Linked DNA regions of Bombyx mori. The protein of the gene in region 1 purifies or fractionates together with the protein of each later gene. This does not show direct contact. Links are inferred from orthologs where the notes say so. Each region holds a gene or a part of one and is shown in the gene's direction. Other genes may lie near its edges.

The links. The genes of interacting proteins can lie anywhere in the genome.
Region 2: the proteins of 26S proteasome complex subunit SEM1 (region 1) and ubiquitin-protein ligase E3C purify together in Homo sapiens (affinity purification with western blotting; 3 studies listed by BioGRID and IntAct, with this or other methods). This does not show direct contact. The link is inferred for Bombyx mori from reciprocal best matches to the Homo sapiens genes SEM1 and UBE3C.

The regions. Positions count from the first base shown.
Region 1 is NC_085129.1:15,972,217-15,977,803, reverse strand, and holds 26S proteasome complex subunit SEM1, read left to right. Parts: upstream 1-2,705; 5' UTR 2,706-2,777; coding exon 2,778-2,850; exon of another isoform or gene 2,851-2,935; coding exon 2,936-3,102; 3' UTR 3,103-4,455; downstream 4,456-5,587. Other genes in the region: ankyrin-3, read left to right, coding at 125-445. UniProt on the Homo sapiens protein: Component of the 26S proteasome, a multiprotein complex involved in the ATP-dependent degradation of ubiquitinated proteins.
Region 2 is NC_085111.1:13,500,285-13,505,684, reverse strand, and holds part of ubiquitin-protein ligase E3C, read left to right. Parts: intron 1-101; coding exon 102-255; intron 256-758; coding exon 759-982; intron 983-1,488; coding exon 1,489-1,870; intron 1,871-2,473; coding exon 2,474-2,742; intron 2,743-3,629; coding exon 3,630-3,850; intron 3,851-5,400. UniProt on the Homo sapiens protein: E3 ubiquitin-protein ligase that specifically catalyzes 'Lys-29'- and 'Lys-48'-linked polyubiquitin chains.

The DNA.
Region 1 (5,587 bases):
GAAACACTCACTCCGCATTTACCTGTTGGTTTTGATGTCTGCATTAATTTTAAATTCAACATTTTTGTATTTAAGAAGGGCTGTCTACTCCGTAATAAAGAGTTTATGGTTGGACTTCTTCCAGGTCATAATGAAAACCCAGTTTCGTGATCCGGATGGCATTCTCAACCACTTACAAAACGTTACTTCAGAGGAATACGAGCATATCTTCTACTTACTTCTGGAAGCCGCAGAAGCCTTCGACCTCTGCATGATCAAGAGGAACAGTATATTAAACGCAGAACAAAAGCAAAAACTAATTGAACGCGCCAAAAATCCAATATCCCTATTGGCACAAGTCAGGATATTCCTCCGGAAACAGTTCGGCCCCTCCTTCCCCCACGCGGTCAAAACTATGGAAATACCTAAAACTCTTCACCACTACCTGCTTTTTGAATGTCGTTAAATCGTAAATTATCATTAATTTTTGGACAAAATAATCAGGGATGTGGTCCTTTTAGGTGGCCGAGCGCGATAGGTGCCTTTGTCAAATTAAAATTAAGAAGGTTGTTGGTGCTGCCACATTTATATTACTTTCCTTGTACTGTAGGAGTTCCCATTATTTTATGGGAAATTAAAGATTTGTAAAATTGTAACGCTTAATTTCAGATCGTGGACGAAACATTATTTTGTTAGTTTTTTTATTTCGATCTCGACAATATTTACATTTTTTTATATATTATGTTAGATCGAAACATGTTTCATTTTGAGACGTATTATAAGTATCTACATTTTACTATAAAGTATACATATCTTTTATATTAAGTTTTTAGTAGTAAAACACGACAGGAGACAATTTTTGTAAAGAAATTATTGGAATCCTATACATTTTTATAGTCCTGTTCGTTACTCAGATTTGGTATGCAAAATGCATGGATTCATTTTTGTATAGAAATAAAAAAAATGGGGCATGATTTTAATTTATTCCCAAAAATAGTTTTCATCTTAAAATAAATTTTATACAACAAAATCTAAATTGTTGCTTGTTTTTTGTCTTTTTCTATTATTACCTTACTATATAATGTATTATTTCAATTGGAACTGGAAATTTGAGTAAATACTAAGTATATGTATAAAATATTTACCATGTTATTTACCTATAGTCTGAAAACACATTTCTATGTGATATTTTGTGATTTTATATTTATATTGTAATATCTTAAATAATAATAAAAAGCGATGTTATTAATAAGTTAAGTACTTTGTTTATCCTCCGACAATATTTTAAAAATAAACGAGTGTAAGGTTATTAAGTTGTTTCATTGCCTACAATGATAAACAGAGTAGGTAAGTTATGTTCGTGTTTGTGAACAAGAAGGCAGCTAAAGTATTAATCATTAATACTAGTACAATAAAATAAAAAGATAGAAAGCTCAACTTTGAACACAAAAGTTATACTTTCACGATTCGGATACCAAATGAATCGTCGATGATGTTAGTTAGGACACGCAAGTAGAAATACTTCTTGCAATACTTTTAAGTACACAGATTTTGTAATTGTTTTTCTTGCGGCAAAATTAGGTTACTCATTCACACTTCAATTATATTAATTTAACCGGCTCCACGACTAACACTCAAGGTTCCAACCTTGAGTACGATTAGGATTTTTTTTTTTTAAAAAAGGGTTCAACAATGAAGGGATTTCAGATCCTTTTTGATTTGATAATTTTTCTGCATTAGGTAAAGAAAACTATTAAGATGAACTCGTTTTTTTAAAGGTGGAGATTGTTCGAATCAAATTTAAGTGCAAACGGAATATGTCCCTTTTTATTGTCTTTGTAGTAGTGTTATCAACACTCGTTTTAAGAAGAATAAGACATTGCGCTCAGGAAGCATCGTACAGAAAAGTTATTTCCAAAGCCAGATGGTGTATGGCAAAAAAGATATTACATAAAGATATAAAAAAGTACTATGAATTAACTCTACTACGGTGACATGGGGTACCATGGTGGAAAAGAGATGAAATATATTATGTGAAAACAAATACCTAGTTGCTTAAATATTTCTAAATTCGGAAAAAACAACCACAATACAGGCAGCACCACGTTGTTCTGACATCAAAATTTATTGTCACAGTTGCCAGATGGGGGGGATTCCCTGCAAATTTGGGGGGTTTTTCGACTCTGGGGGAGAAAGATTCTTTGGGGGGACATTCGGGGGGAAAAAGTTAGTTGGGAGAAGTTTCGGAGGTTTTTTGAGTATCAATTTGCAATTACTATTAGAATAATTATAGTCTACTATACTATTTACAAGTCAATATTATAAAGGACAAATAATGCAACCAAATAGCAATAGAAACTGCCGAAGCGGTTCTCAGGATTCGATCTTCACTGCCAAATAGATGTATAAATTTTGTTCCCACATCGGACTTGTTAAATATCTTTAACTTCGAAAACGAGTATGCTTTAAATAATAATAACGAAAGTGAATATGATCGTGATAATTGCTTAGAGATGGTTGAAGTTATAGGGATAGCTTGATTAAAAAATAAAAGAATCCTTTTGGTTTTTTATTTCTTCTTTAAAATAAGTAAAAACTGTTTTGGGGGTTTTTTTCTTCAAAAAGCCTATTTTCGGGGGGTTTTCGAAAAAAGTTGGGGGGAAATTCGCACGGTCATCTGGCAACACTGTTTATTGTTGTGAATTTACATTTTACGTGACAGTTGTGTTGTGACTTGCATCTTATTTATTCTGCTACATTAAGTGATATTTCCTTATTTCAATAATCATCACAGTGTAATGGCTGACAAACAGAAAGTAGACCTTGGTTTGCTAGAAGAGGATGACGAGTTCGAAGAATTTCCCGCGGAAAGTACGTAAACCTCCAGATGAAGAATATTAAGAAATTAACAAAAAATGTTTTCATTCATTCTATTTTAATTCAAATTTTCTTGTAGATTGGGGTACAGAAGACGCTGATGATGAAGATGTATCGGTTTGGGAAGACAACTGGGAAGACGACGTCATCCAAGATGATTTTAATCAGCAGTTGAGGTTAGATCTTAAAGATTTCTGTTACCTTCATATGGGCCCAATTGCTGTCGTATTTGATTCTTCTTCTTAATCGCATACCCCATTGCTGAAGGTCATGTCCCTGAAAGGCCTTCGTGGCTCTTTGTACCATCAGCTTCCATTTCGTTCGGTTTTCGGCTTCTCTCAGGGCGGTCGCAACAGAGAGTTCGATCAGCGCGGTTACCTGATCCGACCAACAGTTCGGCGGCCGGCCGGCTGTCTTTTCCCTTCTACCTTGCCCACTACAGACAATTTTTCAAGGTTGTTTGGTGGCCGCTGAGAAATATGACCAAAGTAGCCAAGAACCTTTTGGTAGCAAATCGTAGACAGTATTGTTTCTGATTAAATTTAGAATAATAAGGACCAAGCTTCTGTTCTCCATTATATATTTATGCTATCTGAATAAATGTCCATGTTTTTTTATTGCTTACATGGGTGGTCAAGCTTACAGCCCACCTGGCGTTAAGTGGTTACTGGAGCCCATAGACATCTACAACGTTAATGCCGCCCGTGTAATGTCTCAGTATTGTTACAACGGCTGCCCTACCCTTCAAACTGAAATGCTTTACGGCAGAAGGGTGGTGATGCCTACCCGTACATACTCACAAGAGCTCCTATCACCAGTAAATTCTAAGCGAACACTACTGATGTGACTTCATTTAATATTATAGTACAGTAAGCTATATTTTAAGTTCTAGAACTATTTAAAACCCAAACCTTAAAACAAAATTTTATAAATTTATATTTTTAATTTGTCTCGTGCCTCGAACGCACCTAGTTTTTATTTTATTTTACAGCAGGAACATGCCTCTTGTTTGCTCTAAATATTATTAAATACCTTTATGTTGATGTTACAGCAATCAATCTTTAGTTGAAATGTCATCTAGTACATACAATTAGCATTGAAACTTGTTTCAAATTTATAAATCTTGTGTAAAAAGATAGATTGAATATTTTTTATAAATATTGATATTTCTGGTTATATAAGAGTATGCACTTAGTATCAGTAATTAAAGCACATAGAGACCATAATAGGAACTCAATTGGCCACTCTGAAATATAATACTGAAGTCTAGTTTGAGTTAGATACATGCTTTCCATAGAAATCAGCCTCCTTTAGTACATTGCTGCAGGAAGGCACGAATGGGACGATCTGCGCTGGTTTGCAATGACTCTCATGTACTGTATAATCTTTTAAGATAATTAGTTGTTGGTACTTATGTTTCTAACATTATTAGTCATTACATATGATGAGTATGGACTGCTGGAGAGCAGTTACCAAATGTAAATTATATCTGAAACAATTTTATTTCATTTCAGGCAACAACTGGAAAAACTGAAGGATCAGAAATCTTAATTTTAGCTTAGTTGTAATTAAATAATAATAAATGTGATTTTTTACAAACAGTTTTATTTTTAGAACATCCTTTGAAACATTAGTTACCTGGATACATGTTTTATTGATAGAAGATCACAGTTTATCTTGAACAGCATCTAACATATTTTGTAATGAATTGTTCAATACTGCCTCTCTCTGAATAAACCACAATGAATAAAAGTTCATAGATGGAGTGCTCTGTATTCGACTCCATTGTCCACTTTGAGATGAGTCCCAGTTCTATAGTACAACAGTCACTTTCCCACACTTATTTTTTTAGTCAAAGCTTATCATATGTTATCTCTTGAACTCATACTCTTCATTCACACAGTTAATCCAATTCTCTTTAAGACACTCCCTCCTCACCTCAAGGTAAATAAAATAAATATTAAAATTGATGGCTCTGGCCCTATCACTTGCTACTGTGTTCGAGGGAAGACTTGCATGTGTGTGCGTGCATGCAGTTTATGAATGAAAGATCTACCCTCACTGTAGCAGCATGGTTGCAACCGACACAACATACAAATCAGACAGGTCCACTGACTGAAAAATTTGCTACTCAACTCTTCTCGTATAAACTCAATAAAATCATGATAGCAGCTTGAATTAATTATCAGCTTAATGTGCCTCTCTGCTATCAGAGGAGTGCCATCAATGTTGCATGACTCACCGACCAAAACTGTAATAATAAGTGCTATTTAATTTTTCAGGTACTTTATTATAAAAATAGCTTAAAAGACAAAAATATAAAAAAGATTCTTAACAACTTTTCATCACAATAATACTATGATTTCTAAACAAATTCTATTACTCAACTACGATTACTCATGTTGTGCTTTTGAAATATTGGGAACCAAATGGACTCATTACTCCCATTGTGGCTTCCAATCTATCTAATATACAATATTGCTGTTTAGTGAAATTTATGAACAATGTATTTTTGACTACTGTAGATATAAACATGTATATCAAAGCCACAAGATCTTGACATTAAAATAGAGAAAATGAACATTACAATGTATTTATGTTAGCTTTGGTATAACAGTCTTCAAACGGGAACATACAATTGTTCTACGAAAATTAGACAAGACTGTGACTGGTGCAAGCAAGCTTATACACTAAAATGGTTCACATAATTTAGGAATTAATGTAAAAATAA
Region 2 (5,400 bases), on another chromosome or scaffold:
ACTCAATAAATATTGTGATGAAGATGATAGCAATAAAGACTTCAGTAAAAGTTAAAAAAAAAACATGATCTTTGATCTTGTACTTTTTTATAATTTTTCAGGCTATTTCATGGATCTGTGTAAATTAATATGTGAAAAGACCCCACCAATGTATGGTCCATCACCAAACCCACCCACCCCATTAAGCGGAGCACTTTTAGAGTTAATTCAGCGCCCTCTGTCACTGATCCTGCGAGTGAACATTCCTCAGTATGAGTAAGTTGCTTATTATTTATTTTATAATATTAATTTTAACTGAAATAATGATAAGTAGCATTTTGGCTGTTTCCCTGGTACTCCTCATGACTATGACTAATCAGGTGAGCCATATGCTTGTGTATCTTCCAGGGCAACATAAATATATATCATATCATAAATCATAAATATATATTATCTCTATATCTTATACAGCTTTGCAAATTTTATTCGTAGTAAGTTCTTTTCAAGGTAATTATACAGAAGATATTTTTTATATACCTACACAGTATTTTACATAAGAGCCAAAGAAGATAAGCAATGAAATAATATTCCCCTTTGACCTTCTGTTTTGTTATGTTTTACAAGATGCAAAAACAATGATGATTACAGGAAAAAGTTGTATGTTTACTTTATTGGAAGGTATTGTATTTGTAAAAACTTTGCCATAGAACAGTTTTGGTTTTAGCACTCTATATTAAAATCCGAGGGTTCAATATTGACAAGTATTTATTTTGTTTCAGAGATACAGTAACAACAGAGTTTACTGCGGCATTTTTGTGCAATCCGTATCCAGAACCAGTAGAAATGTTTATATTACCATCTCTAGCACAGGATACCACAAAGAAACTATCATTCTTAGCATTAATAAAGTGTTTACAAGACGACAACAAATATCATAGTAAAAAGATTATAAACGATTCTTGGTTATTGCATTCGGTTTTGGTTTTAGAGCCAAAGCAATTTAGTAAGTATTGATGATATTGTTATTGCTTTAAAATCTAACTAAAAATTCATGGCATAAATAGCAATTCAATAAATGCCAATTTGCCTATATTATTTCACAGCCTATCTAATGATAAGTACTTAGATACTGGATTTAGACTACATTAAAACTGGAACAGATGATTATTTAGCGATTGGCAGGACTATAGTACAAACTTGTTGATGCCGACGATCTCTTATGCCAGCAGTTATTTTGTTTCGATGTTAAGAGACCACACAGAGTTTATAGACTTGTTTATATAAGGCACTAATATGTAGTTCATTGACATGAATATTAAATTTGTGAGTGTATTGTATATCATGAAGTCTACAGTTAAAACAGATATAATCACTAGAGAGATCAGAATATTAATGTCAAACATTATGACATGGAATATTTCCATTTTTGATGTGACATCAGCTGCCATTGCATTTACTTAACCAAGTTGCTCGTTCCTAACACAGCTAAATATGAAATATTTTTTACAGTAAGTGAAATAAAAAATATTGACAATACAAGATTGCCAAGCAATAGAATAGTAATAGAATACCTTAAGGTAATAGCTAGATTGACTGAGAATGTGTGCAACAAACAAATCACCTACGAATTTGAAGACTCACTGTACAGTCAAGAAACTGCAGCGGACAAAGATGATGAAAGTGACAGCGAAACCGAACCGAATCCCACCTCTATTCGTGAACAGATGCTGCTGACGCGGTGTATTGAATTATTGAATGATCCAGAAAGATGCATTATGGTCACCATATCTCAAATAACAGATAATGATTTAAGTGAAGAATTTTTAGAGTACATGTCTGAGATCTGTCACAATTTGCTTTTGAGTCATCGTATGGCTTTGCATAAGTACAGGTAATTGTTAATGAAAAACATAAAAATATTATTTCTAGTTAATCTGCATCATGTCATATTTAGTCTATATTCAATGAATAATGTCAATTTTCACATTCGGCCGTAAACATTTTGTACGAAAATAACCTTCGCAGAATAGGAATAGGGTTTCCCTTCTTAATTCTTGCAGGTGATTAAATGTCAAAACAAATTATCTGATTACAATAATTACTTAAATAACATGTATACTATTATTATGCTAAATATGTTATATAGGGCATAACTTTATTATATAGTATGTCAATGTCATATAGCATAATAATTAATTAATAATGAATGAAATAGTTTTAAATTGAAGAAAAAGTTTATACTAGCAAATTAGTTGCGAAGTTTCAGTAAAGCTTTCGAAGGTAAAGTGTTAACTGAGGGTGGTAGGACGTATTATAAGACCATTTGGGTTGGTCCACCGAGTTGCCTATTTCTGCCGTAAAAGCGTCCGCCATTTTGGTTTGAAGAGTGGGACAGCCATAAGCTGTGAGCTTTTAAACTAAACTACGCAGTAAAGTATATGCTTTTTTTCTGGCTTTAGTTCTTTGTAAACCTGAAATAGGCTATTGTTTTTAGGTTATTGTATACGCTAGCATTTAAACCGATATTCTTACGAGGTCTATGGCGCTGGTTGAGTAATATGAACCACGCTTCCTCGTTCGGTGGTTCGTCCACGTCTCTCCTGTCTGCGTTGTCCCGCGGTATGGGTGCCGAAACTTCTGTGATAGGTGTTCATAGACTACTGGCACCTTTGGCTGTCTTCTGCGCCTTGTTCTCGCTATTAATCGGAACCTTACACGATACGGAGTTCTGCAAAGATATGGACGATGATGAGAAAATGAGCGGTAAGTTTAATATGCCTTTTGTTGTACTTTATAAAAATCTATATATACATAAATAACCAAACGACCGTTTTTTATAATAAATTGTGTCTCTTTCGATGTAAAAATTTTTTTTTTTTTTTTTTTTTTTTTTTTATTGCCCTTGTAGGCAGACGAGCATACGGCCCACCTGATGGTGAGTGGTTACCGTCGCCCATGGACTTCAGCAATGCCAGGGGCAGAGCCAAGCCGCTGCCTACAAATCATCATTCTCAATTTGCTGATATCAAATGATCATTCTCAATTTGCTGATATCAAGTTGTTAGTAGACCTTAATTCAGTTAAAGCTAACTTTTGATGTAATTTTTTGTGTAAGTTGAATTATTGAACTTAAGTTTCTAAATAGCATTTAGTAATATTTTTCACCACAAATTGGTCACACATCTGAAGCATTATGTCATCTGTGGTAAATCGTTGTGTAGTATAATGTTATGCTATAATCTATGACCAGCTCGTCCTTTAAGTTTGTCCCAAATGATATTTCAGCGCAATGAAGTTCCGCTTGATTCAGCTTGGTCCAGGATTTAAATCGTCTGGTTCTTTATTGCTGTTGGCTAAAATATTAGAATACGTATTACGATTCAGGCGTACCAGTATTTTTACACGTGTTTAAAAGGTTCCCGAAAAACATCTCATCTCATATAGTGTAGCATGTTTGACCCGGCATAGGTCGACGAACCTGCCTATTTAAAACTCGATTAAGCATAGCACACGACCATCTTGTATCACATTTTGCGCGGCGGTATATATACAGTATCACTCACGTACGACTTCACTAACGTGGCTCAAAATAACAACGAAATAAAATATCCAGAGATAAGTATTTATCATCATTCGATGTTTTTCAATAGTGTTGAACGCCGGCGGTGGGGGTGGCAGGATTCACGCGTTTGAGTTCTCGGAACTTGGCGGTCTCTGCAGAACGTTACGCCAAGTCTGTCTCGGTCTCATAGAACTGGCCTACCCTGAGTCGAGGCTCACTGCCTGTGGACTGTACAAAGATGCTGTGGGTTACACTGACGTCGAAATGTCTGGCAAGAATAGGACGCCAGCGTGGTCACATCTATTTAAAGTAAGTTCAATTTTCTAATTATTATCTATTCTATATTGCTAGGAGCTGAGATTCGAGAAACATTGAACAATTTTAAACCAAAGATACGCTTATTGATCGACTAGTGTGGTTAGTGCGAGTTTTTCTCGATAGCGTAAAAGTTAATGCAAATTTGTATGGAATTGGAACGTTTGCCTACGTCTGCCGCTAGGGGCGCTGTTCCAATTGCATACAGATTTGAGTTAACTTTTACGCTATCGAGAACGTTAAAAAACTCGCACAAAGCACACTGATCTAGGGGTCGAAAACATAGAAAATAAAAACCACAAAATAGTTCACCGTTATCAATCCGTACTCCACGCACATGCGCATTGTTTTTACTATTTTGCACTCTATTTTTCTTATATTATTTATTCTTATATTTGACTTTGGACCTTTTTTCCTTTCGTATTGTACCGTGGGTCTCGATTCACACTCTTCTATATAGCTTTGTTGTAGATGAACTCGTTCACGCTGATATACGCCCTACCCTATTTTGAACCTAGTCAAATCTTCTTATCGTTCATCGATTGATACGATATTGGGTACGGTCTAATAGTCCGGTCTATTTACACATTCAAGTTTACATAAATTCCCATAAAGCTGAATATTGGCATAGTTGTTCAAAACATCATTATAAAGAAAATCTCAAAAGTCCTCATCGTTCCGAGGTGTGCTAAAAATTTGGCACGGGGTCAAAGGTCAAAAAATGAGTTTTTTGCGATTTTTAGCGAAACGGTGAGTTTTTTCGCAAAATTACCCCAGTACAAAATTGTAGATCACAAAATTCTCTACAAAAAATATATCAATAATTTTTTTCCTAAAAGCCACCATTTTGGAGATATAACGTTCCGAAAAGTTGGATCAGTCGTAATCCCTCTATTTTGCACACGTTTCCACGCCACCTATGAGGTACACAAAGCGCGTTTTTTTTAACGTGGTTTCCCCAGTAGGCCTATTCCACGGGTCTGCTGAGATTTTATATGTTTTAAAACTATTGCAAAATAATATTATATATTATAGTGGGCAAAAACAACGGCGGTGTAATTAAATAAAATACTTAAAATAAAAAGTTAGTCGTCTGATTCATAACTGTCCAAGATTTCTGTTTCTTCTTCTTCTTGATCTTCTTCTCCTTCTTCTTCCTGTTCATCCTCTTGTTCTTCTTCTTCTTCTTGTTCTATTTCACACGTAAACTGCCCCAATAGCGATTCCTGATCGGTATCAAACGAATCTTCAAGAGTTGGTGACTCAACATTCGAGCATGATCGGCCTTGACAGTGTGTGCATGCCAGGGAACAAAACAGTCCAACTTTTCTGCAACCACATTTTGCACTACACCCTTTCTTGCAGTTGCAAAATATTGTGTTGAGAAGTTTCTCAGGTGCTGGTGGAAGTAAAGTTTGAACTGGCTCTAGTGTATTGTCGATCAACTTCCAACCCCAGTCTTTAGGGTCCAGCTGATTACCAAGCCACACTTGAACTTGGTAATATACCCGAAACAGATGTTGATGAGCAGCTACTGAGGTTGG